6 linked regions of the Nothobranchius furzeri genome follow. The protein of the gene in region 5 purifies or fractionates together with the protein of the main gene of each other region. This does not show direct contact. Links are inferred from orthologs where the notes say so. Each region holds a gene or a part of one and is shown on either strand. Other genes may lie near its edges. The genes, in order: napab, sybl1, vamp3, vti1a, stx8 and vamp8.

Evidence for each region.
Region 1: the proteins of stx8 (region 5) and napab purify together in Homo sapiens (affinity purification with mass spectrometry; 4 studies listed by BioGRID and IntAct, with this or other methods). This does not show direct contact. The link is inferred for Nothobranchius furzeri from reciprocal best matches to the Homo sapiens genes STX8 and NAPA.
Region 2: the proteins of stx8 (region 5) and sybl1 purify together in Homo sapiens (affinity purification with western blotting; 3 studies listed by BioGRID and IntAct, with this or other methods). This does not show direct contact. The link is inferred for Nothobranchius furzeri from reciprocal best matches to the Homo sapiens genes STX8 and VAMP7.
Region 3: the proteins of stx8 (region 5) and vamp3 purify together in Homo sapiens (co-immunoprecipitation; 3 studies listed by BioGRID and IntAct, with this or other methods). This does not show direct contact. The link is inferred for Nothobranchius furzeri from reciprocal best matches to the Homo sapiens genes STX8 and VAMP3.
Region 4: the proteins of stx8 (region 5) and vti1a purify together in Homo sapiens (affinity purification with mass spectrometry; 3 studies listed by BioGRID and IntAct, with this or other methods). This does not show direct contact. The link is inferred for Nothobranchius furzeri from reciprocal best matches to the Homo sapiens genes STX8 and VTI1A.
Region 6: the proteins of stx8 (region 5) and vamp8 purify together in Homo sapiens (co-immunoprecipitation; 5 studies listed by BioGRID and IntAct, with this or other methods). This does not show direct contact. The link is inferred for Nothobranchius furzeri from reciprocal best matches to the Homo sapiens genes STX8 and VAMP8.

Annotation. Positions count from the first base shown.
Region 1 is NC_091753.1:46,790,305-46,795,109, reverse strand, and holds the start of napab (N-ethylmaleimide-sensitive factor attachment protein, alpha b), read right to left. Parts: upstream 3,217-4,805; 5' UTR 3,092-3,216; coding exon 2,994-3,091; intron 2,323-2,993; coding exon 2,048-2,322; intron 905-2,047; coding exon 858-904; intron 762-857; coding exon 684-761; intron 586-683; coding exon 530-585; intron 1-529. UniProt on the Homo sapiens protein: Required for vesicular transport between the endoplasmic reticulum and the Golgi apparatus. Together with GNA12 promotes CDH5 localization to plasma membrane.
Region 2 is NC_091741.1:28,141,602-28,146,492, forward strand, and holds the start of sybl1 (vesicle-associated membrane protein 7), read left to right. Parts: upstream 1-1,672; 5' UTR 1,673-1,857; intron 1,858-2,174; 5' UTR 2,175-2,204; coding exon 2,205-2,350; intron 2,351-2,447; coding exon 2,448-2,505; intron 2,506-3,689; coding exon 3,690-3,827; intron 3,828-4,891. Other genes in the region: polr1d (DNA-directed RNA polymerases I and III subunit RPAC2), read right to left, coding at 1,071-1,109. UniProt on the Homo sapiens protein: Involved in the targeting and/or fusion of transport vesicles to their target membrane during transport of proteins from the early endosome to the lysosome. Required for heterotypic fusion of late endosomes with lysosomes and homotypic lysosomal fusion.
Region 3 is NC_091743.1:51,774,494-51,779,635, reverse strand, and holds the start of vamp3 (vesicle-associated membrane protein 3), read right to left. Parts: upstream 3,030-5,142; 5' UTR 2,915-3,029; coding exon 2,913-2,914; intron 1-2,912. UniProt on the Homo sapiens protein: SNARE involved in vesicular transport from the late endosomes to the trans-Golgi network.
Region 4 is NC_091756.1:39,738,956-39,743,314, reverse strand, and holds part of vti1a (vesicle transport through interaction with t-SNAREs homolog 1A), read left to right. Parts: intron 1-2,438; coding exon 2,439-2,497; intron 2,498-3,391; coding exon 3,392-3,502; intron 3,503-4,359. UniProt on the Homo sapiens protein: V-SNARE that mediates vesicle transport pathways through interactions with t-SNAREs on the target membrane. These interactions are proposed to mediate aspects of the specificity of vesicle trafficking and to promote fusion of the lipid bilayers.
Region 5 is NC_091747.1:69,833,449-69,837,807, reverse strand, and holds part of stx8 (syntaxin-8), read left to right. Parts: intron 1-3,676; coding exon 3,677-3,778; intron 3,779-4,359. UniProt on the Homo sapiens protein: Vesicle trafficking protein that functions in the early secretory pathway, possibly by mediating retrograde transport from cis-Golgi membranes to the ER.
Region 6 is NC_091757.1:27,702,521-27,707,619, forward strand, and holds the start of vamp8 (vesicle-associated membrane protein 8), read left to right. Parts: upstream 1-2,110; 5' UTR 2,111-2,296; coding exon 2,297-2,311; intron 2,312-5,099. UniProt on the Homo sapiens protein: SNAREs, soluble N-ethylmaleimide-sensitive factor-attachment protein receptors, are essential proteins for fusion of cellular membranes.

The sequences.
Region 1 (4,805 bases), on a different chromosome or scaffold from region 5:
AGTATCAACATTTGCTAAATCTTTATACATTTTTGTTTCAGGTCTATTTAAAGGGATACTAGGCAACTTTTTGGTATTTTTAAATAATTTTCTTGAGTCATTATTTGCTAAAATGACCCTTAACAGGGTTAATGAAATGTCACTCAGACCCCCACCGTCCTCTGTGGTCAGAATACCGCATTTGCAACTTCAGAGTGCCAGTCCGGGGGGAAAAGGTGAGCCGACATACCTGATGCTGCAGTCTGGTTCTAGCATGCTTCCTGCATGTTTTAGATCATGAACACAGCTAAACTGTTTAGTTTATTGATGAATTTTGTGTCCTGTAGACACTAATGAAGGCTGGGGAGACATTTCAGCTGTTAGATCAAGGTGTTAAAAAGAAAAACGCACAGCAAGTAGATAGGTTTTGTTTTTGTTTCTACTAATTGGGCACTAGGGGGTGCTAAAAGCAAGCCAAAACTGCCTAGTCTCCCTTTAAACCCAAAAGTGGACAGAAGTATTGCTCAGATGTGTTACGTCAAATATTTACCTGGTGGATTCTTCGCCTTTGTAATAATCTGCTGCTTGTTCATAATGAGCAACAGCCTGAAACACCACCACCCCCGAAAAAAAAAAATTCAAATGACCATGTAAACATTTGATCAAATATAAACAACGTGATAACCATCAGCTGTGTCTCTGACCTTGTCGATGTCCACCAACTCCGTCTCATAAATCTCAGCGATGGTGATGTGGTGTTTAGCAGCGATGGTGAAACGACCCTAAAATTACACAGGAGCAAGGACGAAACAAAATTAAAAACACAAATCAATAAAACTATAATAGCTTAGGAGGGGGATTTGTATTAAAAACCTCACCATATCCGTGTATATTTCAATAGCTCGGTTTAGGCAGTTTATGGCCTCTGTTGAGAGAAAAACATCAGTTCAGTGAATGACAAGAAATAAGTAAAAGGAAATTTCTTTCCACTGCAGAAAACAGACTTTAGACAAAGTTCACTCATTTTCTCAATACATCTGCAGTGATCTCTAGAATGCATGAATGGCTTGTGAAACAACATCTCATGCTCCTGTTTCAGGAAGCAGAAGTGAGCAGAATTCCTGATGTTCGGACATCTCACCTCTGATTGACTAACATTAACACAACTCTACCACTGACTGTTCTGCAACACTGATATGTTATCTCCTCAAATAACACAAGCCTAAAGGAGTTCTGCTATGTTGTGGAGTTGCTCATGCTAACAGTTAGTGTCTACTAGCTCTGCTCTTTTCTGGGTGCTAAACCAACAACAGCCTTCCCCCGTCGTGAGCCAAGATGGGCGAGTCCATGAATGTTAATTCACAGCTTGATGTAGAGCTGACTGTACTTTCTAACTCAAACATTTCCCCATCTATTTTCTATGGGCGACTAATGCAGGAAATATGGGTAGAAGACTTTTTTCACGTTCAGCCTGTACACAAAACTCAGAGCTTCCAATCATATTTACATAATAATAAGTAAAAAAAAGTTTCTCAGTGAACTTGGTCTTTAAATGCACTTCTGTAGGAAACATTTACCCTAAACATCAGAATCAGGCTTACCCAGAAACTTCTGCACAGGTTGAGGAGTTTAACATTTCTGACTGCTCAAGAATTCCTGGTATTTGTCTTTGACGTTTCATCTTACTTATATCACATTTAGTTTTGAGTTGTGCCACCTGCACAGGCACAAATAAACTGCTGCAAACAGGCATTGATGTTGTTCAAAATCTGCATGTATAAAAACTACCCTTAGTTTTAAAAATAAAGAGTCTCGATCAGGGGTAAGTCTATAGAAGACAGCTAAATTTCAGACACACAAGATGCTTGGAACTAAGCTAGTATGGGGTAAACTAAAGACTGTAGATAAGTGTACACAGTCATGGGATCAAACTTGCTGCCAAACCAGGTATTAATTAGATTGGCTGCACTTTATATGAAGTTAATTTTAAAAAGTCCAAAAATGTATTTCCTTCCAGATTTTAAAACCTTTTACAAAGAGCTCCATGTAAAATTGAGTGACCTCTTACCTTGTGGATCTGCTTTTTTGAAGGCATTTCCAGCATCTATGAGATTAGTTGCTGCATCGTGTTTACTCTGCATTTGCAGGTGAAGATGAGCAGCCTGAGCAAACGCATTTCCTGCAGCTGAAAAGAAAACACAAATTAAAAGATAAAACATATCAACAGATATGCACAAGGAAGGGAAAGTAACTGTCCTCTTACCACACCAGTTTTTGGCCATTTTGTACATGTTGGCTGCCCTCACATACAGATCACAGGCCTCTTCCAGCTTGGAGGAGCTCCTGTGTGAAAGAAAAAACGTGTAAAAAAACAACAACTATAAGATACTGGTTATTAGCAGGTTAGGATCGTGTAAATGCAATAAACAAGACTGGATAATAAGTAATTACTTTTCAAAATAAAAATAGTAGATAGTATTTCATCTGTTGAGATTGTTGTCCAATAATGACAATATTTCCGCACCAACATTTTTATGGCAAAAGGCAAATATCAATAAATAATTTTCATTAGATTTGATACAACTTTGAGGTTTCTACTGTAAACATTGTGACGATTTGCACAATACGGAACAGCCAGCAGATGGTGCTACAGCAGAGCTAATGTGATCACACTTTTTAAAAAAATATTTTTTTACAGTCATACTTAAATAAAAACGAATTTAGTATTCTGTTATCGTCCATGTCAAACAACGGTTTGTTCAGTGTAATTTTTCTCAGTTTACTGGGATAAACGGCTACGTGTTAGTCTTTGTTGTTTGCAGACGTTATGGTCAGCAGAAATCCGGGGAAATAACCTTACGTCCGTAGACAAATACTCTCAATACCACAACATCTTAACAGCAGCTCCAGTCCTGTTGTGCCCAGCCATCAGCCCTGGTGTTAGGTGGTCACCTTCCGCATAGCTGGCCCTCAGCTTGAAAGCAGAAGCTAAACATCAGCTAACTAAAACTCACCCAAACAGCGACCCGAAAAACGACTGAGATGATTTAACTTTCTTCTCCGCCTCCGCCATTAAAGCTGTAGCTTCTTTTTCTTTCCCACTGTTATCCATTCTGCTTTACTTGTTTTTCTGAATCTAAAGGGGGGCGAAAAAATACTAAAGTCAACAAAGTTGCTAAGTATTGCTAACAGCAGTGTCACATCAGCAGCCAGCGCTTTCTCTGTCACGTGACAATGGGAGGGCGGTCACAGCCCTGCTGCCTTCAGGTGCTGCTCGTACGGTCCAGAGTTGGTCCATTACAAATCTATAATGTTTCATGTTATAAACTGATTGTAGACCATGCTGCAACACAATATATCAATCGATAATTTAATTAAGAAACATGTTCGTTGTTAATATTTGCTGTAGAAACAAAGGAATCGCTTCTAATCTGTCTCAGGATCATTACAGTGCGTTCATGACAATCTATATAAAACAGTTCCCTTGTGTTATCTGTTTTCAACAGCCAATTATTTTTCTATAAGCAATCAGACATTAAAGGTGACAATATTTAAGCATAAATGTTGTAATAAAACGTAATAGCGTAAATATCTTCAAAAGTGCAGTTTTAAAGGAATATTGATTAGAATTATAATAAGAAAATGCTTTCCTTTAGTCAATGCCAGTTCCATTATAAAGAGACATTTTTAATCAAAATGGGTTAGCATCATAATGAAACTGTTTGTCAGCTGAAATCTTTACAATTTTAACATAAATAATAGATAACAACTATGTTAAGTGGTTTTCCAGGCTTTGCATTATAGCACAGTGAATTAAATGTGTGTAAAATATTTTGTTGAAAAATACATGACAAACATATTTTAGGGCTATGGGTTGTGGTAGGTAACTACATGAGTCAAACATTCAAATACCTTTTTAAAATTTACAAAAATAATCACGTATTTTAGAACTATACAAAAATTATTTAAAATATGGAAAAGGAATGTTTTCTTGTAGATTATGTTACAGTATTTTGCTTAGGCTTTTTGTAGATTAGTTTGTTCTTTTCTTAGCCAAAATCATATAATCTGATTGCAGTTCAAGACTGGGTTGCATTTATCTAACAAATCTGCTGGCATTTGTTAACATGACTGCTTTTATATTTTTTTACATTTGTGATCCAGTTTCTTTTATGATTTCATTTTAAGCAATTTCTCCCCACAGGCTTCCTCTGCTGTTCCTGCCTTTCTATTGATGTTTTTTGAGTTTTAAAAATGAAAACAAGTTAACATGAAGAATATGTCAAATTTAAGAATGCACTAATTAACACAACAAAAATGTTCAAAAACCGTTTAATGTTCCGAATGGGTATTTGTGTGTAAAGAAAGTCTCGATAAACAACATGGATTTCAATCAGGCAGAGCGGAAGTCTGCCGTTTCCTGCCAGTAGTTGGGTCCTGTTGAGCAGCCCGTGCGAGGCTGTCCTGGAGACCCCGCGCTGCCTGCACCTCTAACGTCTCGGGTGAGTTTGTTACAATGTAACAATTTCTCCATTAATCCCAATATCCGCTACAAAGCTGCGATATCTGCTAACTGTTCAGCAGACACGAACCGCACTGCTACCGCAAAAGAAGCGACACACTGCCGCATCACACCGTAAACAGGCTCGTTTTCCAACGAATTCCCAAGCATACCCCCTCTCATCCAAGAGTATTCCAACATTTACTGATATTCTGCTTGCAATTAGCAATAGCTCGCCACGTAGTTGCGTTTACGACTATAAGCAGACAGCATTTCTTCGTTTTAGCTCAACCGGACTGCCGCTGTGCGTAATTTGTGTTAAAAT
Region 2 (4,891 bases), on a different chromosome or scaffold from region 5:
ATCCCATTTTATTCATTTGACAACATCACAAGAATATTTTCAGTTTGTTCTTCTGTAATGCAAGATTTCGTTTTTAATAATCCACTTTTATTGATCTAAAAAAGTTGCACAATATTTGAGAACGTACATTATTTTTTTAAATATAACCTTCTGCTGTCTTCAAATCTCACTTAATTTCAGGGAACACTAAAGACGGACAAAAACGGTTGGTTTTTCATATATCAGTATCAACTGATCTTGTAATATTTTTTCCCATATTGTCCAGTCCCACTGCTGAATGTCAAAATTATTATTGACACTTAAGGGGGCTGCCCATCACCCAGAGACTGATGTATTTTATATTTTTCCTTTTTGTAATTTTTTTTTAATCTGAGAGACAAAATCGCCTCTTAGAGTTGAACATTCCGTTTCTCCTCCAGGACACTGTTTATAGTTCTGACTGAATTAAATACAGAGTCAAATGTGACATTTTATTTCACGGTGAAGACAACAGAAGACAAGTCTTGCCTTGCTGTGCATGACCTGCTACTCTCCTTCCTAGCAAGAGGGTTATTTTCTCACTCTGCTTCCGGATGAATACTTTCTGATGTAAAAAACGAAGCGAAACAAACATCTGGTGAAGTTTTTTTTTCCCGTTGTGTTGTGCCCAAACAAAAGCGTGACCGTCAAAACAGAGGCATGTATCAAACCGCAACTTGGGATCCTGTAAACATTCAAATACAGTTCTAAAAGCTAATGTCTACATTTGCTGTTTTAAATATTAATCAATGTTTATCGTATCTATGATGAACGCTTATTACTCATTTTATTACTGAACTGATACACAGGCCGACATTATAAAAAAAAGGGGTGAGCTTCGCACGCACGACGTAAATCTGCAGTAACGGACTGAGTTCAGGTGAAGAGTCGTGCTAACTACCTAGCTAGCTACTGAAGGTATCCACGTGAGGAGTAAACTTAAGGGGTTACGTTTAGCCCCTATGTATCGATCATTTCCTCCCAAGTGGAGTCGGTTTACCGTCAAGATCACTTGGTCTATATGTAAACTGTGACACTTTAAAATGTCCTACCATTTCAAGCTTTGGTTTCTTTTCCATTTCTCCGGCCATGCTTCAGGCTTTTTCCCCCTTCTTCTTCTTCGGGTGTTGTATTGCGGGTGGCATACGTGCATTTCTGCCACCTACTGTGCTGGAGGGGGTCTATCGCACTCTTGATGGGTCACACTGATCAGTCCTGAGTTGTTGATCCTCATCTTTGTCTGACAGGCGTAAAGCGCAAACAAATTTCTAAATTCTATTTAAATATTTTAACATTTGGGTAAGCAGATGTTCGAGTTCGTAACAAATATGTATAACTTTAGATTATTTGTACAAAAGTAGTTGTTCATTTTGGGTAAATAATTTGTTTTATTTGAGTAAACTACAAATACTTAAATTTATCTGAAAAAATAAAATACAGTTTTAGTCTGGTAGTTCTTCCTTTACGGTATCAACACATTATTGATCTGAAAAACGTCCACAAACCAATTTTATGGACGATTTGTTCGCCTGAAAGTCTTTCAAAAGGGCCAATTTAACGCACACCTTCTATTGCTGTAATCAGAACAGAATTGCGCATGAAAACATGTGACGTTGAACGTCACGTGTTTGTCTGAAAAGAATTGTAGTTCAATAACAGAACCAAATGCGTTAAAATGTGGCTTTAGAAACTACATTACCCAATAGTGGGTTGAGGTCATTTCCGGTTTTTTGATTTTGCTAGTCAGAAGTCACTCAAAAAGGATTAGCTAGCAGCTCAAACAGCTTATGTGGCTATTAAAACTCTACGAGATACTTTGAGCATCGCTGACACATTGAGGTAATACATTTATTTGTGTTTTCTGTGGTTGTTTGGTTTATTTTGTTACCATGACATAACGTAACATCACACCTCCCTAACGCAGCTGTGTTTTGTTGAACAACATTAGCTAGCTAGTTTTTCTCCAAGCTTTTGTTTTGTCTCTCTAGAAATTACTTGAGTTTAACACACGAGCTGGCGGCTGCTCGCCTGTATTTGAATATTTCAGATGAACACGATTTTTCTTATTTGTTTAAACAAGCTCCTGCTTGCCCATATGGCTTTATTGGCCCTAATATCCACCCATCTCTATACTTCCGTAATTTTACTGTCTACAGGTACATAGCTGAATCCCCCCAGCTGTTGCCATGGCAATCCTGTTTGCTGTGGTGGCTCGTGGAACCACTATTCTGGCGAAGCATGCTTGGTGCGGTGGGAACTTCCTGGAAGTCACAGAGCAGATTTTGGCCAAAATTCCTTCAGAGAACAACAAGCTGACCTACAGCCACGGCAGGTAAAATCCTAACGCAGTGCATCTGTCCAGAAGCTGTTTCAGAAACACTCTTGGTGACAGATCTCAATGACTTTCTCCTTTTTGTTTGTTTTTATAGCTATCTCTTTCATTACATCTGCCATGACAGAATCATATACCTGTGCATTACTGATGATGTGAGTATACAACAACGTTACCTGCCAAATAAGGATACTTATCTACTCACGAATATATAGTGTCACAGGAAAATGCATCTTTTTAATCATGTAGCCTCCTGATTTAGATTGAGTAGTTCTTTATGTCCTGCTTTAAAACAGCCAGACTTTCTCATACGCTTTTAAAGTTGGATGATTAATAATTCTAAAGTCTTTCAGGTTTTTTTTTTCCTTTGAACTGATTTCTGAGGATTGTTTTGGTTCTGTTTGTTAAGCTTTAAGTTATTTATCTGTGGCGTATAATTCATTCATGCATTAAAAAAGCCTTAGATACTAACAGGTGTTGTGTTGTGGTTTAACAAACAACTTGGCAACGGGCCAGTTAGGATCTTTAGGCACTTTGCTACCAGCAGCCTGCCACAGACACTATTTTTGTTCCCATTTATTTAGTATAATCTGTAAAAAGTAACACAGTGTTGCAGTTGGTAGCAGTGTTGCCTCGCTGCAAGGTCGAAGGTCAAAATCTGTCCTTTCTGTGTGTAGTTTGTATGTTCTCCACATGCATGTGTGGGTTTTCATGGATAATGCATTGTCCACTGAATCAAAACGTTCACATTAAGGCTGACTGGAGACTTTGTCCCTAGGTTTGAGTGAGTGTGTGACTGGTTGTTTGTCTTTCTGTGTGATGGACTAGCCTGATGACTGCTAGGTTAGACACCAGCTCCCGTGACCCTAGTTAGTTAGACCGAAGCGGTTCAGATAATGGATGGATCAATAACGAAATAACACTGAAAAGTTTACGTCCTGTCAGGTCTTTGATTGTTTTTAAAAGTATTTCTCAAACAAAGCTTTGGTACTTTACACCTGCTGTTCTTTAGGTCTTCTTTTGCCCATTGGTTCACATTCCTCATTTTTTCAAGAGCATGCTGCACAACATCCTGTCATGGTCAGGTATGAGAAGAGGAAATGAGTGGAGAATCTACCAAAGTCCAAAAGAACACTTTAAACGAGCGTCAGAAAGTCTGGTGGTTTAGTGATCAATGCCACTAGAAAACGTCAGTCTGCTTCCTTTCAAGCAAAAATTAAAAAGACAAATCTGTGTGTTTCAAAATGTTATTATTAAAGCAGAACACTCACACTGTTCCACCCTTTTTAGTGAATCTTGGTTTGTTTTAACTCACTTTATTTTTATTTTTTGGTGGCAGGACTTTGAGAGATCACGTGCGTTCAGCTTCCTCAGTGAAGTCAAGAAGCGTTTCCAAACGACGTACGGCTCCCGAGCTCAAACAGCTCTACCCTACGCCATGAACAGCGAGTTCTCCTCAACACTAGCAGCTCAGTTGGTGGGTGCAGCAAAAGGCTGAGGACATTCAGAAAAAAATTTGCAGACTAAATGTTAGTCAAACATTCAAGTATTATTATGAAGCGCGTTTAAAAATGGCTGTCACTGACCAGAGTCTTTAAGGGATATAATAAAAGAAATGAGTGAAATAGCACAAGACCATAAAGGTAGAGGAAACCAGAATAAAAGTGTAAAAGCTAATAAGGAATTTATGTTCAAGTCAAAGTCTCCAGAAAACCTCTCGGGGTGGGGGTGCGTTAAATCAGCTGTTTCCTGATCAGAAAAGCCCTTCACTGCCAGCGTTTTTCAGCGTTTTCACAGTTTTTTTAAGAGTCACCAAACATTCTGCTGTATGATGATGTCAGCGCCAAAACTATCAAAACAAAGCGGAGACTCGCCTCTCACATCAGGAAGAATCCGCGCGTTTCGAGCGTTATCCGTTCTTTCATAATCCGTTGTTGAACTGTGATCGGCAGAAGCTTTTCCGGTTCGCGCCTCACTTTTTTTACAGCAGCGGCCCAAAACGATCTCCTAACACAGGGATGTTCTGCTTCCTGATCACGTGACGTGTGAGGTATGCAGATGAAGATCGGCTTTAGAGCTGAGATGTTTGTTCTTACGGTGCGGGGGCTCGTCCGACGCCCACACAGTAAAAATGAGTTAATAGATTTTTTTTACTGATCTGGGGAACTAATTTTGAAAGAGAGAGATTTGCTCTTTCAATTGATTTTTTTTTAAGACTTTTTACCTGTACCTGGTAATTTGGTGTGGGTGTTTGCTGTGCTGAGCATTTATAAACTTGTTAAAAAAAAACTCAATTGTCTTAAATATCCACCAAATTATTATAGTGAAGCTACACTTGTACGCACAGTTGTTTCCCCACCTGTGGGTTTTCCAGTCATTAGGAAGTGGGCCCTTTGCTTTTGTGCACAACATTTGTCTTAAGCAGTGATGGGAATAACGCCGTTTAAAATAACGGCGTTGCTAACGGTGTTCTTTTTTTGTGTAATGGAATAATCTAATTAATTACTTTTCCCACTGTTGCAACGCCGTTACTGGGGACGG
Region 3 (5,142 bases), on a different chromosome or scaffold from region 5:
GGAAGGCAAACTGTATTCAGAGTAAAAGTGCAGAAAGTCTTGTTTTCTGCATGGACTACTTAAAAAGATAAGGAAAACACATTATGGCTACTTATTTGCTTGTATGTCGTAGATCCTTGCTTTTCTTGTTTGGAGGCTAGACAGATGTAATGCTTCCCTGGATGTGTGACACAGTTTGTGTCTGCAAATAAAAAGTTAATTTCTGTTCATTTGTGATGTAAATACTTGGCCTTTGGGTGCGTTACATCGTTATCGAAATTTCTGACTCTTATCGAAAACAATTTTCTCATGTCAATAAATTTGATAATAAGAAAAATGAAAAGATGTGTGTAGGTTGGCAATGCTCATGTCCCTTTAAGAAGCTGTATCACCTTGAGTCACGTAAAAATGTGACTCAATGTAATACATGGGACAGCCCCATCTAGTGGACAACTTTGTTTCTGCGCATAACTGTAGTTATCGTCCATTTATCGTTATCGAGGTGGAATCCTTAATATATCGTTATTAATTTTAGGCCCTATCGCCCAGTCCTAGTGTTAACCATGCTAACTGATTTTATTTCACCTCCATTTAGCTCTGTTTATTGATAATTAACAGATAAACACAACAGTGGTCAACGGGGAGGTGCTGGCTTCTTGCCCTCCAGCGAGGGGCTAGGGGCAGGGGTGTAGGTGCGTGATGTCATCCGTCACTGCATATTACACTTTGCAGATGTTACACTGCAATTATGCATTCTGTGGAAAGCCAGGTTAAACTGATGCAACAGGTAGCTTGCAGGACAGGAAATGAGGTTTAAGCCACGATGCAACCTAATAAAATCAATTCAATCCACGTCTCTTTCTGTGTATGAGTTTGCATCATCAGTCTCATTCTGGGACAATATTGTATGTGTGTTTTGATCAAATAAAAAAGCAAGTGTGCCATTCCTAGCTTTGAGCAGTGCACCTAAAATTTGGAGTGCGTGCTTGGGTGTTATTTTCAGATCACAGGTAATTAGGACCATTGCTGATAAACACGTGACCAATACAGTTACTTCTACATCAGAGTGTAAGCAGACATTTACGCCATCATTTACAAAACAAAGTTACGTGTAAAAGTCGAGCTCTTCAGCTTTATTGGTTTACTTCTAAAAACCATTTTAAGGGTTTAAAATATAAATCTAATCTTTAAACACTGCTAAATTCTTTATTTCTAAAATGAAATGAATGTGATATTTATCAGCAAATACAAACTTTTGCAATAGTCATGTGCTGCCCCACTTTGGTTTGAGACAGCACTGCACCATTAGTGCTATGCATCTGTGTGGTTTTCACTGCTTGTTGGTTTTTCATGCCCTTTAAGCTGCTTTAACCACAGGAGAGGAAACTTAAGGAACAAAAACAGATTTGTTGTTCACAACTTAATTCTGAATCTTTGAGTAACTGAGCTTCCCTTTCCTTTAGCCATTGCACATATTTACTGTTTATTAAAATTATGATCATGTTTCCAATTTGTGCACAAGCCCCTGCATCATTTTTATTAACACAATGTCAAAAATGTGAATTTAGAATAAATAAAACTAAGAATTACCACTTAAATCTATTATCTGTACAAAGTAATTGATTACTTTATTCACATAATCATTGTAGTTAAGAAAGATCTACATAAATTGGGTTATGGCATCAGAGAAGATATTTGTGGAAAAGCTCTCCTTGAAGCAGAAGTAAAATACAAAGACTCCTCCTTGTTAAAACAGCACTCAGAAAAGCATAGTAAAAAATCTGCAATGGCAGAAACTTATTTTGGACATCTGCAACTAGGCTTTATTTTCCAAACCGAGTTAGGCTTTATTTTCCAAACCGAGTTTTTAAAGTATCATTTAATCCCAGCCAGGTACTACATTTTTAGAAAGTTTATAATTTTGTTACTTCAAACCCACATTTTTCTTATTTTCTACTAAAAGCCTTACAGTAAAATCACGAGTGGTGTACATTGTTTCAGTTTAAAACTTCTACATGAATACAATGTTTCTAAAACAGAATAACTTTAGATAATAGCATTCATATAATATCAGTGTGCATGTGAATAAAAGGTTTAGACAGTAGTCACCAAAACTGTAGCATCAATCATCAAAAGATTAAATCAGAATGCTCTTATTTTATTAATATCACCTTATATATACACCAATAACAAAATATGTAAAAGCATTTTACAGTAAAATTTATCTTAAAATGGAGTTAGCATATGCAATTACTTATCATTCTATGTGTGTGTGCAAAATCTAAATCTAATCTATAAGAAAAGTCTCAACCTCTCCTGACTGACTCTAAATTAAACATCTTGATCTAATAGGAGACTAAATGTTGCAGTGTTAATGACAAATATAAAGAAACTGATGAGACTAACTTGTGACTTCTTTGGAAAATATGTAAGGGATCACCCCGTTTAAAGTTATTGTCACCATTACTTTCTGTTAATACACCTTCCACGTGAAGTAAAACAATTAAAATGTGTGATTTATTCATCTTGTCATTTCAAACACTCGAATTGGGTGCAAGTAGCTATCTTAGCAAGGCCAAACAAACGGAAAATCACTAGTTTCGGAAGGAAACTCTTCAGTAATAAGTTGCGCAGCTGTGGAGATTAGTCAAGCTTGTGGTATATATACTTGTTTCTTTTGGCGTCGGATTGATAAAAAAAGATACCACAATAAAGTTTTTGTTAAACGAAGTTAAAAGTATCAATGTAACGATGCTACAGCTAGCTTAGCTTACGTTTGAGGCCCAAGCTAAGTGCTAGCAGCACTTGTTGCATGCTAGTAAAAAAGTTTTGGGCGTTGTTTAATCACATCGTATTATACTATAAAACAAAGTAAACAGTTTTTTGGTTGAGCTGACTCAAAAGGCGTTGTGAATGAAACATAAAATACTTACATTTTGAAAAGATATTTTAATTTAGCGAAACCGCTGCTGTTGTTTTTGTTTGTAAAGTAGTCCGTAACAGCGAGTGCGGTCGTTAGTCGTGAAGCCTTCCGGGCTGTCGGGAATTGGAAAATCAAACATAAATGACGTCAGAGTCTTCTTGAAACAACTAAATCTGTTTCTGTCTTTTTATTCCTCAAACGTGATTAAATGTTACACCTATGATATGTGACCTAAACAATAAGTTTGGAAAACTGTTGTATAAATAAGGAACTTCAAGTTTTTTTATAACTTTTCATCAATGTTTTCCAATTTGATGAGCAAAATTCTTTAAAAATAAATTTAAAAAATAGCGTTTTTGAGCATTGAAGCTAATAAAAGCAAGAGTAATGTCCTAAATCTCTCTTATATATATATATATATATATATATATATATATATATATATATATATATATATATATATATATATATACTTTTGGTTTGTGTGCTTAGTAAAAATGAGAAGAGAACACAGCCGTGAACTCGTGGTCAACGTGTGACATGAAAACAAAGGCTACTGTGTTAAATTACAGTGTTCATTTGGATACAACTCATCTTTTAATGTAGAATTCATTTTGATCTGTGCAACTATAGTTACATAAAAAAGGAAAATAAAAATAGATGTCCAGGTTCGCTGGCTGCTGAAGGGTCATGTGATGTACTGATTTAAGAGGGAGTAAAGGAATTTATCAGGCTGTTGGTTATCAGAGTATCCATGAATGTGCGGGTTGTTGTTGTGTGTACTGTGCTGTGAAAATGTTTTGTCAGATTCTTTCTGTTTATGCTTTTTAATTACACTTAAATGTTAGTGATCAGCAAACTAATACCAACACAATACAAAGATGACCTGAGTAAATAAAAAATGCTGTTTTAAAATAACACATTAAAAAATTAAGGGATATGAACTAACCTAACTTAACCCTTCTCCTCTTGCTAAATCATGGATTAACTGTGACTAGCTTTTATTTGGAATGTTGAGTTACATTTGCCACACCCAGGTCTGATTACCACCATACATTTGGAAGCAAAGCTCTTCAGTAGAATGTCTGAAAACACAAGGTATGTGGAAAGATCTGAAAAAGCAATACATGTTCTAAAGAATTCAAGAACAAAAGAACTCAAAACAACCTCTATATGACTCCAATACTCACTTTGACTCCATGTGTTGGATAAAAACAGTATTGGATGCATGGAAAATGATTTTGTCTGGGTACCATCTGGTGTTTTTTAATTCAAACGAAGGTTCATTCCTTGTTCATATTTTGTTACTTTTCTGTGGCTCCGGCAGGGAAGTTCGACCTTGTATGTCTGCAGTTCTGTTATCACAAAAAGCTCCCTAGTGAAGTCCAGACGGAGCGTTTCTCTGTTATACCAAGAACCTGGGAAAGTTTGCTTTCTGTGAAGGAGGGATGTGTGTTTTCCTTTAATGTGTGTGCTATGTTACTTTTGAATAAAACCTTTTTGCGAGCTTCTGCTCGTCGAGAGACCGAACAGACATCCCATTGGTGTGTATCTCCTTTCTCTCCGAGTTTGCAGTCTGGTTGTTGATTATTGGTGATTGATCATATTGGTAAATGGTAATCTAATATCCCTAACCCCCTTGTGTGTGTTGGACTTTCTTTGAGGTACGCCTGGACTGATTAAATGTAAATACCCAACACCATGATTCAACAATAAAACATGGACAAGGGGACAAACTCACCTCCACAATAGCATTCAGTGGTCAAAACCCTTAGCCTGGCAAGCAATCCCATAAATAAAATAAAATAAAATGAAATCTTTTGCTACTGCTATGGTTTGTCTAGATTTCAGCGCTACAAAACCCTTGCTCACCATTAACAAAGACATGCATTTCTTGGTTCTTTTCAAACACAGAAAAGAATCAAGAAATGCAAGTTGAAAAGATACACAGAGTGAACGTACAAAAGATGGTTAAATCAAAGACACGTTTAACGTTCGGAATCCCCCAAATCTTTGCAAAAATATTCTTTAGACTGAAGAAACAAATGTGTAACTGTAAAAAGCATGTGTGGCTTGTTACATCTGGAATAAAATTAACACTGTTTCAGATTTTAAAAAATGACCACAGTCAAACATGGTAGCTGTAGTGTGAAGGGCTGGGGTTGCTTTTTTTCTTCAAGACCTGGCCTTGCTTTAATCGATCAAAAACTGAACTCTCTCTAGCAGAAAATCCTAAAAGA
Region 4 (4,359 bases), on a different chromosome or scaffold from region 5:
TCATATCCTAATACAGGGAAGACGATACAATATATTACTAAAAGCCAGACAAAATTTGCAATTTTTTTTAAGACTGAATTTAATTGGAAAATTCAGGCCAGACACTTCTAAAATAGTTTTATCACAAGATCGTGTTTAGTCAGAATGAAGGCGGCAGAAACTGCTGCCACCTAGCAGTCGGAGTTTGAACCACACTACACAAAGATGTACGGTAAATGTTTTCATGTAAATTATCAATAAAAAAATTGATACATTTTTTAAAAATATTGATTCAGAATCATGAAATGATATATCACGACATTTTGGTGTATCAATATTTTCTTACATTCCCATGAAAGGTACCTGGGTAAATAAGGTTTCTTGTATGATGTAAAAAAGGCTTGTCCTGTTTTTAGAGACGAAGGCTGGTCCTTAGGCTAAACCATATGTCACAAGGTAACAGAACAAAGTTAACATCACAATATGTGTGCACAATATCAATGTCACAAAGATCTGCTGGCAGGGACATCTGTTTACATACTGCTCTGATGGACTCTCATGGCTGCACCTGGTTTTACTGATGTGTCCGAAATGCTAACGCACACTGTGTAGTCATGAGTGTAATTATGCCAGACCACAAACTGAAAAGTAAGCAACAAGACTTAGCACAACCAAGATCATCATCTTAATAATTAAGAACTCACACAGTCACATGCTATTCCTAATATCTTGCACTTCTAGTTTTTCTAAACTGGAACATTTTGCTGCAGATATTTATTTCGTTTTTCTCATGTTAATAGGAATATTGTCAATAATCTAAACTCACAGAAATGCATCTTTAATTTTTAAGAATCCTGTCCCAAGTCTGAGCCACTTTCTTTTTTAGTTTTTTCATATTCAAATGTAATCCATTCATGGTGATGTGTCAGGAGGACAGCTTAAATCTTTTGTTAATATCCCAAACGCTTGGACATACAATCTTTAGATTTTTGATTAGAATCTTTTGAGGTGTTGAGGAGATCTGTTTTGGTGGCCTAAGGATCAGTGGGCGTTGTACCGGTCTGTCATGGTGAAGAGAAAGCTGAGCTAGGAGGAAAAGCTCTTGATTTACAAGCTGTTCAATGTTCCTGCCCTCACCTATGGTCACGAGCTTTGGGTAGTGACTGAAAGAATGAGATCACAGATACAAGCGACAAAATGAGTTTTCTCCACAGGGCGGCTGGGCTGTCCCTAGAGAACATTCGGGAGGGGCTCGGAGTAGACCCGCTGCTCCTCCACATCGAAAGGAGCCAATTGAGGTGGATCAGGCATCTGATTAGGAGACCTCCTGGAACCCTCCCTGGTGAGGTTTTCTGGGCACGTCCAGCCATGAGGAGGCTTAAATCAAGACCCAGGACACGCTGGAGGAACTATGTAACTCGGCTGGCCAGGGAACGCCCTGGGATTTCCCCAGAGGAGCTGGCCCAAGTGGTTGGGGAAAGGGAAGTGTGGGCCTCCCTGCTTAGGCTGCTGCCTCCGCGACCCGACCCCAGATAAGCAGATGAAAATGGATGAATGGGTGTTTTGTTTCATTTTTGTCCAGGCCCACACTGATTTATTTTTGATCTTGCAATTGTTTTCTTTGTGTTGTGATGTCAACACAGACCATGTCCTCTAACTTGCCTGTTACTACAAGCATATTCAATTTTGTCACTGTATGTTTCTGACATGCCGTAATTATAAAGTGTTTATAAAACGTAATTACAAAATTTCAAAATAAAGTGGTTAAAGGTCTGTAAATGTTACCAAAATGAATGTCACACATTTTACCGAAAATCCTAAAGTTGTTGTCTTGTTTTAATCTTTAACAACGATTATGTATTATTTGTGTTGTTTTTGGAAAAAAGAAGAAAGGATACCCACTCACTGAGCAGCCACATCAGACCTCTACATTTCATATTGTTTACTTTCATGGCAAAGAGCTAATTTTAGAGCAAAGACCAATTCAGCACGCATAGCGTGCGTTTGCGCTGTGGCTGTAAATGACTGTTGAAGGTACTATAGCTTTGGAAGTTGACGTCCTAATGAGTTTCTTTGGGTAATGTGGTAGAGCAGTCATGGGGTGAGGTGTAGAACAGTGTGTTAGTCATTCTGAGAGGGACTCATCCTTCTGGCAAGTGAGCAAAGCTGACACCTCCCTTCCCTTTGAGTTGGCATGAGGTGTCTCACAGCTCCTCAGCAGAAACCAACAAAGGCCTCATACACGCCATTACTAAGACACATCAAATGTTGGCTCGTCGTGTGGAGAGAATGTGTAAATATATCTTCAAATGTGTCCTCGTGTGTTGTTCTCTCCCAATGTCTTTTTCTTTCTCTTCCCCCGCCATCTCTTCCACTGTTGTGTGGGAGTCAGGCTGTTGTCATGAAGCGCTGTTCCCTCCGCCGGCTGATCAATATGTTTCTGTTTTTTTCTCTTTCAGAGGAGAAGACACAGCTGGTTCTAAATGTTGACAAACAGCTTGAAGAAGTCAGAGAGTTGGTATGTCTTTGATCAGTAATTTTCTCCTCGTCCCATTGCCTAAATTATGAATTTGTGGGAGGGGGAGGGGACAGTTTTCACCGGCACCAGACAGCAGCACCTGTATTATCCAGGCGGTGACATGACATGCAGACATGCACGCACTTCACGTGGCGGGAAAGGAGGCTTCCTCCTCACACGATTACTTCCCAGTAATCTGCTTTTAAGTGACACCCCTATGACACATTTCAAGCCATTATCTTGAGGTGGAAGACTTCATGTTGCTGTTAAAAAAAAAAAAAAGCAGTCACCAGATAGAGACAAATTGTTTTTGCGGTTGTCTTGTTATGCCGCGGTGATTAGTTTCCTCCAAATCTGCCAAGATGAGTTCTGTCGTCCCGATACATCAAATGTACCTTTTCCTCATCCACTGTGACAGTTTTGTTGGGCCCATTCATGTCACTGCAATTTAAAAAAAAGGGGGTGGGGGTGGGGGGTCTCGCATTTGATGGTGTATTTATTTACAGAACCACCTTACTCTGTTGGTGCTTTTATCACAGCTGAGTGACGTAAGCAGGTGGCATTTTTATTTTTTTTTACAAACAAAACCAAGTTAATGCTGCTCTTTTTAAATGTTTCATATTTTTTTATTTGCCTAATTGAAGTGTTTGCCATAAACATGTTTATTGTCATAGCTGGTAACTTTGTGAGTCACACAAAAAAAGAGGAACTTTGTTATATTTTTGTTGCATCTTAACATGAAAACTGTACGTTTTCTGAGTGATAAGTCAGTCGATTTTACGTTTAAAATTCATGCCAGGTTAATGTGTATTGCTAAAAATTGATTGAAAACTGTAGGAATGAACCTTGGAAATGTTTTGCCCACAAATAAAGTGCATCACTGGTGGTTTTCAGCTGGAGCAGATGGATTTGGAGGTGCGAGAGATCCCCGCCCAGAGCCGAGCCATGTACAACAGCAGGCTGAAGAGCTACAAGCAGGAAGTGGAGAAGCTGGAGAAAGACTTTGTAAGTACAACACGAATAGCATCACTTTATAAAGGAAATAGATGTTTGTTAATAACCATTAAGTGTTATTATGCAACTTTATTTCACAACATTTCTTCAAAGGAATAAATATACATGCAAGCCTTGTTAAAAGTTGCTGCAGTCAAACCCCATGTGGTTTATAGACAACCCAAACCAAACTCTAAGTGCACTCGTTTTTACCCACATAAACAGTCCAGCACTGAAGCTCAGTAGTGCATCCACAGAGGTTAATTCACAGTTTATATTTGAACTTGTGAGCAGTGTCCATTGAGAGCAGGTTGTGCATGTTTGTGTTTCAGCTCCAGAATCTGGCCTTGTTTAGTAATTCATAAATCCCTATTTATTTATTTATTTTTTTAACTTTATTTCAAAACTCTGTCAAAGCTTTATGAACAGTCCAGTCTTTTGGGTCACTTGTTTTTACTCTGTGTTTACTCAGTGTTGCTCAGGATACTTCACTTGATCAATACTAGTTTTGAACTAAGTGATTATCCAGCTCAAATGAATGCATGTTTACTTCATTTCCTTTTTTATTTCCCTCAGTTTTTCTAAAAAAGTCAAGACGTGTTTTGGTTATTTATATAACCCTCACATTGCTAAAATAATTTTCAACTTTTTGTTTATTTTGTTTGTTTGTTTTCTGTTGTCACATTAGTTGCACTCAAACTCACAAAAACACACAAAACCCACCGCTGGCCCTGAGCTCCGGAGTACCCCGGCCTGACCCTTCATGAACCAGTTAGGATGTGATTTATGTCCCAACATGTGACAATAATTGGATATAATTTACAGTGAATTTCTAAATGTGCTAAACCAGCAAACTGGAGTTTTTTCCC
Region 5 (4,359 bases):
CATAACGCCGAGTTTCTCATAAATATGGCGACGGAAGCGGAGTTTGCTGTGGCTCTTTCCTCTGTTCTAAATGACTTGAATGTCTTTAAAATAACAACAAGTAGAAGCGCTAAAAGCCTTTCTTCTGAAAAAAAAAAGATGTTTGCACCGTTGCCAGATGCCTTTTTCATTACAGTTACCCCCAAATTCCACTACCTCCGTTCCGCTCCGCTCCGCTCCGCTCCGGTCCGCCCCCGCCTTCCACAGCCGCTCGCTTCCGAACTCAATTTTTACTGGTACCCGCTCTACAACGGCTCCGCTCCGGTGCGGAGACCTGAGGTGGGCAAACAAGCATGCGCGGGATTTTCGAGATCTTGCGATACAGTCCGAGCAATAAACGCGGAAGTTAGATCCAAACACCCGTTGTGTGGGAGAAGCATCGGCATGAACTGTTTAATCTGCCCATCATTTGTGTTGAGAGATCGGCAGTGTTTGGATCAACTGAGTGTGACTACTTTGATAGTAGAAAGTGTATTTATGGCTTATTTTTGTGCATTTAAAGTTCAGCCGCCATTGATAGTTGTTAAAAGTTGTTAAACCTGTGCATATGAAACAAAAAAACGCCTTTTGTTTATCGATTTATTGTGAAAAACGGAAGTTGTGCTTGCTCCTTTTCCTGTTGGGCGGTTGTGATTTCTGTCCATTTACTGCGGAGGTGCTCCGGCGTCCGGCAAAAATAGGATTGATTCTATTTTTGCCGGACGCCGGAACAGAGGGCGGGGCACTGCGCCGCGCTGCCGGAGCACGGCCGCAGTAGTGGAATTGCTCTGATTGACAACAACGGGACCGATTTTGCTCCGGCGTTCGTGTCGGAGCGGAGGTAGTGGAATTTGGGGGTTAAACAACTACAGCATTGCGCGGCACAGTCGGCATTTCAGTTTTTTTCTGATTGGTTACTTTTGAGCTGCCTAGTCCCGCCCCTCATGCGCCTCTCTGCCTGTGTTACCAGACTCTCTCTGTGCAGAGTTAAACAGAGGATGAGTCTGGCAGGCCAGGCTGCTCCTTGGCTTCAAAACATGTAGATCATAATGGCCTCTTGGTGTGGGGAGGCTGAGCAGGCGAACTTGTGACCAACTGTCTTATACATATTTGTTGTTCCTCTGATTATTGCTTCTCTATATGAATCATTTTGCTTATCTCTTTTTTTTTTTTTGCACCAAGTACTGCTGCAATTTCCAAATGTTGTTATTTCTCACATGTATGGCAATAAACCCCCTTCTGATTCTGACTCTGACGTTCCAAATAGGTGCTAGTGGAAGGATTATGAAAATGTCAAAAAGACCATAAACACTAGTAAAATTCACCTTTTAATGTATTTTAGACATTTTTAGGTCACATTTAGCATTTGATGTGCACCTTTCATAGCAATGTATTTTTGACAAAGTTATAAAGATATCAAAAAAGATAACTTAAACACATACACTCATTTTTTTAAGCTGTGGTAGAATTTTTCATCAAGCTGAGCCTGAAACATGTTTTTCTTTGAGCTTCAGAAGATCAGAGGCAACACCAGAAGCCCATTGATGGAAGAAAAAGACACCTTAAGGAAACTTTAGGATTTTGTTGAACACAACTTAATAATTATCAAAAATTTTCAAACAAAATGTTCGATGTGAAAAATTAATAGTTTCATTGCAGCTGTTGTTGGAGGTTGTGTCCGAGCTCCAGTGCGTTTTGGCACAGCTGGAAATTCATCAATGAATTGAGATGTTTCATTTGGGCCAAAGCTGAATCAGGGAACTTGGCAGCGGCTGACTAGCATCATGCTTTATGACTCGTTGGAGTGGCATGCGGCAGAAATGGCTCAGTGTCTACACCCTTTGCCTGACAGTAAAGGAAGAGTTTCTTCACTCTAAATTGTTGCCTGATGCTCAGATGATGATGTGGGAGTCTCCAGGGGCGCCATGCTTACGGCTCTCTCATGTCTTCTTGTTTCAACGCTTTTCATCCCCAGACAGACACGCTTTGCTTTCCTTCCTTGAATTCATGCATCTTAATTAGTCCATTTCAGTCTAAACACAAACTGTCTTACCAACGGGGGATGACTCGCTCTTATTCAGGTGTTTTCTTGACACTGAGACAAGTACGATGCTGAGTACAGTTGTGGGAATTTAGTGATTTAGCACAAATTTAGAAGAACAAATCCATGACTCATTCAGATTATTTGACCCTTTTGCCATCTAAAGCAACTATAAACCATTATTCCAGGGCTTAAGAAGTATATATGTTCTAGTTTCACTCATTTAAATGTATTTTTAAAAAGTCACCACACTGATTTTGTTGTGAAACTGAATATAGAAGCTAGCAACTTTGTCTTATTTTTGCTTTTTCTTTTTTATTTTATAAGGCTACTGGATATTACCTGTCATCACTGCTAAAGTTAAGATAAAAAACAGACTTTTTACACTGGAGCTGTGTTCTGTAGTGACTCTCTTGATTTATAACAGGAGTAATGAGGCATGCTGCTCTGGATGTAATTGCTCACATGTTTCTTCATCTGTTTATTCATAGTTTTCTGTCAGTGTGACAGTTGGGCTCTTGAGAGAGACTGATGGATGGCCTTTACAGGAAAAGATGTTGTTTTTAGCAGAATTTTGTTTTGATACGCCCGTCTTAATACTTCTGAGCAGATTTGTAAAAAATGTGGTTAAATTTGTGGTCAAATCAGCCATTTTATACGGCAGTCATGGGTGAAATGGGTTGGCATTATCCGTAAACAATGGCATTCTTTAAAAACAATACCATAGTCAGAATTTGGTCGTCCTCCAGCAGTTGTCTGATTTTATTTCTGGCTCCAGACCTCTGGAGATGCCACGATAACACAAGCCAAGCAAATCACGCGGCTTCATCTGGACAACCTTCAAGACTTAAAGTTCTGCTCTAGAGACCCTGGCCAAACATGTGTACACAAATACACACACATATGAACACACACACACACACATACAGAAAAATAGAAACATAAATATCAACAGGGTATCCGCGGGTCTTTAATAAGTCTTAAAAAGTCTTAAATTAGCTTTTCCAAATTTAAGGCCTTGAAAATCCTTAAAAATGACAAATAATCCTTAAATACAGTTTCCAAAGGTCTTAAATTACCAACGACCCAATATTTCTATGAAATTTTCGTGAATTTCGAGTGTTCAGCATTTTTTGTGTATGATGTTGGCGTAAGCGGAACCGTACACATTCAGTTGGTTGTGAAAGGGGGCTATTTTTAAATGAGCACATTAGCTGGTTAAGCTAGTGGGAGCTTGCGCCATGGGGAAGTGCAAATTTAATGGTAACTGGATGGCTAATCCCACGTTCGCGACGTGGTTAGCACCGGTTCCAGCCAATAGCTGGAAAATATAGCTTAAATTTAATTTAAAAAATTGCTTAAATTTGGTCAAAGTGGCCTTAAAAAGATCTTAAAAAGTCTTAAATTTGGCTCCCTTAAACCTGCAGATACCCTGAAAACTATTTTTTTAAAGCCTAGTCTTGCAAAAGGGTGGATGATTACTTGCACACAATCCTCTACTGTGCGTTTATAACCTCTGCCCTTTGAATTAGCCGACTTTTACAACACCAAGTATAAAAATGGTTATTCAGAAACTAATTAATTAATTTAAACGTCTTCTTTTCCTGTCTGTCTCAGAAATCATCGATGACCTCGCACAGCTCGTCGACACGACGGACAGCAGGATTCGAAATGAAACACGAAGGGTGAAGCTGGTGGAGACCAAGTCAGCGTCCTGTGGTGAGCCTACTTTGTTTCAGAGTTACCCAACAGGAGGCGGCCTGCAGCTTGAACTGCTGTTCTTTAAGCTAGAGTGGTGTACTACGAAGGTTCACTCAAATGGGAGGGAGAGCTTAGCACAGCACGTATACACCCACCCCCGCCCCCAGACCTCTGCGCCCCACTCATGCGACACATTAGGGTTTGTGGTTGAGTACCTCTAGGAAATGGTTGAAAGCATAAAGCAAATGTATAGATAACAACAAGCTACCAACTTTGATTTTCTTTGAAGGTTTAGGAACAATTAATCATCTGTTAAGAGTAGAGATCCTTCGATCTGATTATGTGATTTTCAAATGATTGGAATCGGGTGGAAAAGATCGGATATAACCTTCTAAAACAACAAGCATGGTCTTTTAAAATCATCCTGAGTTATTGAAATGTAAAGACAATGGCTTAGTTTTCATTTTAACAAGTTTCATGGCATCAGTATTCATCGTTGCATAGATGACAACACCACAAGGTCACATAATTAGCAGCGTGCAGGTAAGTAACACACCATAACATTAAGCTGTTAGCAGACACGCTTAAGCTGTTTTTAC
Region 6 (5,099 bases), on a different chromosome or scaffold from region 5:
GAGCAATGTGAATATACATGCAGCAGTATGGAATCAAAATGTTATGATCATTCTGTGACTGATCCCTCAAGTTTAAGGATGTAAATGAATAAGTTCTTCTAGATCTGCACTTGGCTGACTGACAGGAAAGTGATCCTCAACAGAAGAGCTGAAAGCTCATCAGCAGATGTTCCATTTTGAAGAAAAGTCATCTTGTGAATGTTTGAACAGATGACAAGAACCACATGTCTCAGGCTGAACCATCAACCTGCAAATGAAGCTGCATGTAAGCTAAAAAGACACATTCACAGGTGTGGACACCCCGTTTGGACATTTCATCCAATTAAATTCATGTTGGTCAGGTGATGACAAAATAATTTTGTAGGATAATAACAGCTTTCACAGAGGAGAGAAAGTGTGAACATTTAAGAAACAAGAACAGAAATGTCTGCCCAACCTTAGTTTTAAATAGAAAGTAGGCCTTTCTGTTTCTCTGCTGGATCGAATCAACTGGACCTTAGAAAATGAAACCCACATGAATGTTTTAGTCTAACAGCTTTCGATAGGCATGCATTACAAATAAAACCAGAAGGAAAAATGTGCCTGGCCAGAGAAAGGGTCTGGGAACTCTGCTATTTAAATAACCCCACCCAGAAATCTAACCGAGCCAATCAGCGCTGAGTAGCGTTCGTCACACACCACAACGCCGAGTTTGTCACAAACACCCTCCTTTGCCAGATTTATGAATGACTTTAAACAATATTTTTCCTCGCTTAAGCATCTAAAATCAGACCGATTTGTTACAATTCATGACAAAATCTCATCTCTCGGTCTTAGACTATTAGGCTCTTATCTTCTGTGCTACAGGATTGTATTTGTATTTGCAGGAGTATTATTTGGATGTTGTGTTTGCATTAACCCCCCGTCTTGTGTCTTGATTTTTGTAAAGTCCCTTTTATTTTTGTTATGTCCCTTTTGTTTTCACGTATCTATTTTATGTTGTACATAGATGCTGTCATGTTATTCACTAAGCTGTTGGTTTTGGCTGTTGTATTGACGAGACTGTAATCCTCAACGAGAATATGTATCTTGTTCAATTATAAATAAAGAACATGGCGACTGAATGGGGAGTTCGCTGCGGCTCTTTCCTCTGTTCTAGATGACTTTGGCACGTCTTTAAAACAACAAGTAGAAGCACTAAAAGCCTTACTTCTAAGAAAGATGGCGCTGTCGCCAGACGCCATTTTTGACTACAGCTAAAAAACTACTGCATTGCGCGGTACTGTCTGCATTTCTGTCTTTTTTGTGATTGGTGATTTTTGAGCTTCCTAGTCCCGCCCCTCAAGTGCCTCTCTGCCTGTGAGGAACCAGACACTCTCTGCAGGATTAAACAGGACCAGTCTGGCAGGCCAGGCTAAAACCTATGAGGAAAACACACACACAGCACTCACTTATGAGTGTTATTGTCTTGTTTAAAAGCTGAACCACTTTCTATGTAACAACTATTATTACATTATAATAGTTTAGCACAGATGTCTGCTGTGGTGAATAAAAAGTATTTATTTAAAACTTAGGCCTACTGCTAATGTGAATTTGTTATGTTTGAATTGCTCTTATTTTTGCAGACGTTTGTTTAGTTGAGCATCGGATTAAATCACAATCCAACTCTCACCACTGACTCACAAATCAGCAAAGCTTCAGACAAATAAACGGATGAATAAATATTCTATGTGCCCTTGAAAGGTAATTACACTCAGTTTATCAACAGCAGACACAATACAGGAGTACATCTTCTAAATAAAAGCATAGATGTTTCACAATAAAACAAACGATGGCCCAGGTTCATAACAAAATGTATAAACGCAGAAGTAAAAATAGGAAGAGCATTAAATAATTAAATAAATAAAATAATACACAGTTTAAAAAACTTAATTAAAATCCAAGTGATTTGGTTAACACGTTTTATCTCCTGTTTTAAATTATGAAACAAATGTAGTACCGTTTTATTTTATTTAACTTTTCTAACGTAATGCTTGTAAATGTTAATAAACTTACTTTAAACCGTTTAATGAGCTTCACGTTTATCGCTTTAATGAAACCGGATGTGGGTTTGAGCTGAAAACTCGAAGCGAAGGAATTCAGAGTGAAGAGAAAAAAACAGGAAGTGAAACCAAGGAGGAGCGAGTGAGAGAGAGAGAGAGAGAGAGAGAGACACCTGTAGGAGCGTCAAACTTTTAGGTTTTACATCATTTTAAAGGTTTTAAACTAAAGAACCGTGTCTGTGGGTCTTCTGAAGGAGGATCTAGTTTCTGACAGGATGGACGCGGACCCGGTAGGTGATGTTTTTCTTGTTTTGTTGCAGCGACTCCATAACGAGGCGCCATGTAAGGAGCAGGTGTGTTTGTTCAGGTCACATGAAGAAAATGAATAATGTTTGAGTTGAGGGGACACCTGTAACTTACGACCCTGTTTTCCCTGAACAATGGCGTCCACTCGGAAGCTGCTCTGCGGTCCTGCTGTTGGACATTTACTTAAGTTAATGTTTGAAAGTGTGAAGTCGGTGTTTAAATGAGCGTTTTAAACGCTGTTGCAGCTTAAAGCTGTTTGTTAGCTCAAACTTAGCTAGCTAACTTAGCTCAGAGATGCTGTAGCATCTTGTTCCTGCTGGCTGGAGAGGTCAGAGGATCAGATACTTCAGAAGGTGGAAATAATTTGTTTTGGACTGAAACCTTGGTCTGTCCACATACGTTTGGTGTGTTTTCTAAGCAGGCGTGCAAACAACAGATGTAAAAGTAATGTTGTTGCTATTTAAGATAAACTGATCTGTATCATCTTATTTTTTCAGGGCATCATCATTGAGGCACTTGGATTCAATTTCTGTAGTTTTGAACCACTTTAGGACACAAACAAATGTTTTTTTATTCTGGTCAGCTGGATATCTAACGGTGGTTTTTGACTGTTAAATGTTTGTGACCAAGTGAGAAAAGCTTTGCATGCAAATCTGAAGCAGGACTGATCCTCTGCTGCTGCTGGGAACAGAGGTGTTTCAGTCTTTATAATAGAGACAGAACAGATTAAAGCTGAAAGATCAGGATTTACACTCCATTCAAATCTCACATGTGCTCACAGATTAAGGGAATTTCACATTTGACTAGTTAAAGAGTCGGCATTTTAAATGGCTCACTGAGGATATAGGTTACATTTATTTTGCAATCAAATGAAAGTTTTCCTTTAAATTTACCTTTTAAATCATAGAGACCACATCTGTGCCAGCTTTGTAGTTGCCTGCTATCTAATTTTATTTCCTCTTAATCAGGTTTTACTGGAAGACCCAAGTTCGTCTTCATCTGCTTCCTCTCCAGCACATGCTGAGCTCTTTTAAATGAATCCTACCATCTTTATGCAGATGGCATCCAACTGTACATCTCCTTTAAGAACCATGAGATGTCTAAGCTACAGCTGTTAGTGTTTCCCCTAGGGATTTTTCCAGCTGTGGTGGTGGGGGGGGTAATGACACGACTCACCTTTATGTTAATATTGTTTTATTTGATGCACTCCACTTTGAACTACACCAGTACAGCAACTGCTGCATTTTAATGACTAGTATTGAAGGTGAATACCTCTTATTTATTATTGGAAATCCTTACTTTGGTTAAATAAATCAGTTGTTGAACCCCCCACTCCTCTGTTTGGTCTCCTTTCTTATTACAGCCCACCACTTCCAGTCTGGGTTGTAACAATCTGCAGACAGATTTCTGAGCATCTCCTCCTTTGGTACACAGATCCTCACTGAGCCATGTACTGTGAACAAATAGTTTCTCCGTGATATTATCCAGCAAGATCTTGTTTTTGTCAAAACAAGGGTGAGGTAATGAAAAAATAGAAATATTTCAATAAATTAACATTAAAATTATTTATATGCATAATTAAAAAAAAACATGTTTTGAAATATATAAAGTGCACCAAACTTGACTCAGTCCATTCAACAATTCTAAATGGACAATTATGTAACTCATCAATTAATTATTTGAAAGGATAATTTGTCAATTAAATGCTGAAAAAAATAAACAATACATTAATGAGGCAAGAACTTTTTAAACTTGGACATACCTACACCCACAAGTCTATTTTTACCTGGTTAAAACCATCTAGCTTATGTGCACTTTTTAAAACACTGCCCAGCAAACATTCGGACGTTTAATGACAGTTGAACGGTCACAACTGTAAAATAATATCACAGGAATTAGGAAAGAATAACATGACATCAACTCTATGTCCCTTGGCCGGACTCGAACCTGGATCCTCCAGAGTGAGAGTCACCCGCTCTCCCAGCTGAGCCATGACAGCAACTGCTGAATCTCAGATTTTTTTATACAGATAGCTAGAGAGTAAAGTGCGGAGTAAACTAACCAATCAGAGGACAGGGAAGATCTGCCACAGGCCACGCCTCCAGAGTGCCAAAACTCCTCACAGCCGAGCGAGCGGAATTAGAAACCGAGCGCGCAGAGGCTGCCGAGCGCGCAGAGAGGCTGCCGCGCGCGCACGTTTTCCTCTGCCGTGTGCTCGTTGGCAACGCGCGCACGCAGGTTTGTCACTTGTGCACATCCTTGTGCGCTCACAGACACAGTTTGCTCCCTCTCAGTGCACAAATGACCTCTCGCCATGTATATTTTCGCTCGCGAGTCCCGTTCACACGCGCACTGTGGACCCAATGCGCGTGCACGGGTTGTGGCACGGGTCTGACGCGATACTCTCTCCCCCAGAGATCGGTGGACTCAGTGGTCTCCTTTAAAAGCAGCTGAAAACTCACCTGTTCAGGCTGGCTTTGGTGTGACCTTAACTATTGCCCTTTTCTTATTCAGCTCTTTCTACCAATTCAGCCTTTCCCAGCATCCACTGATTACCTCTTTTTTAAAATAATTTTCTGTTTTTCTTTCCCAAAAATTTCTAATCACAATGAAAATTTTTCTTAAATATATGATATTTTTTAATAATTATTTAAAGTCTTTATTTTTTATTTTTTTATTTGCTCTTGTGAAGCGCCTTGTGATTTTTGTCTTAAGAGGCGCTAAATAAGATTGTTTTTTTTTCTTTCTGACTCGTCGTGCATCCCGTGAATA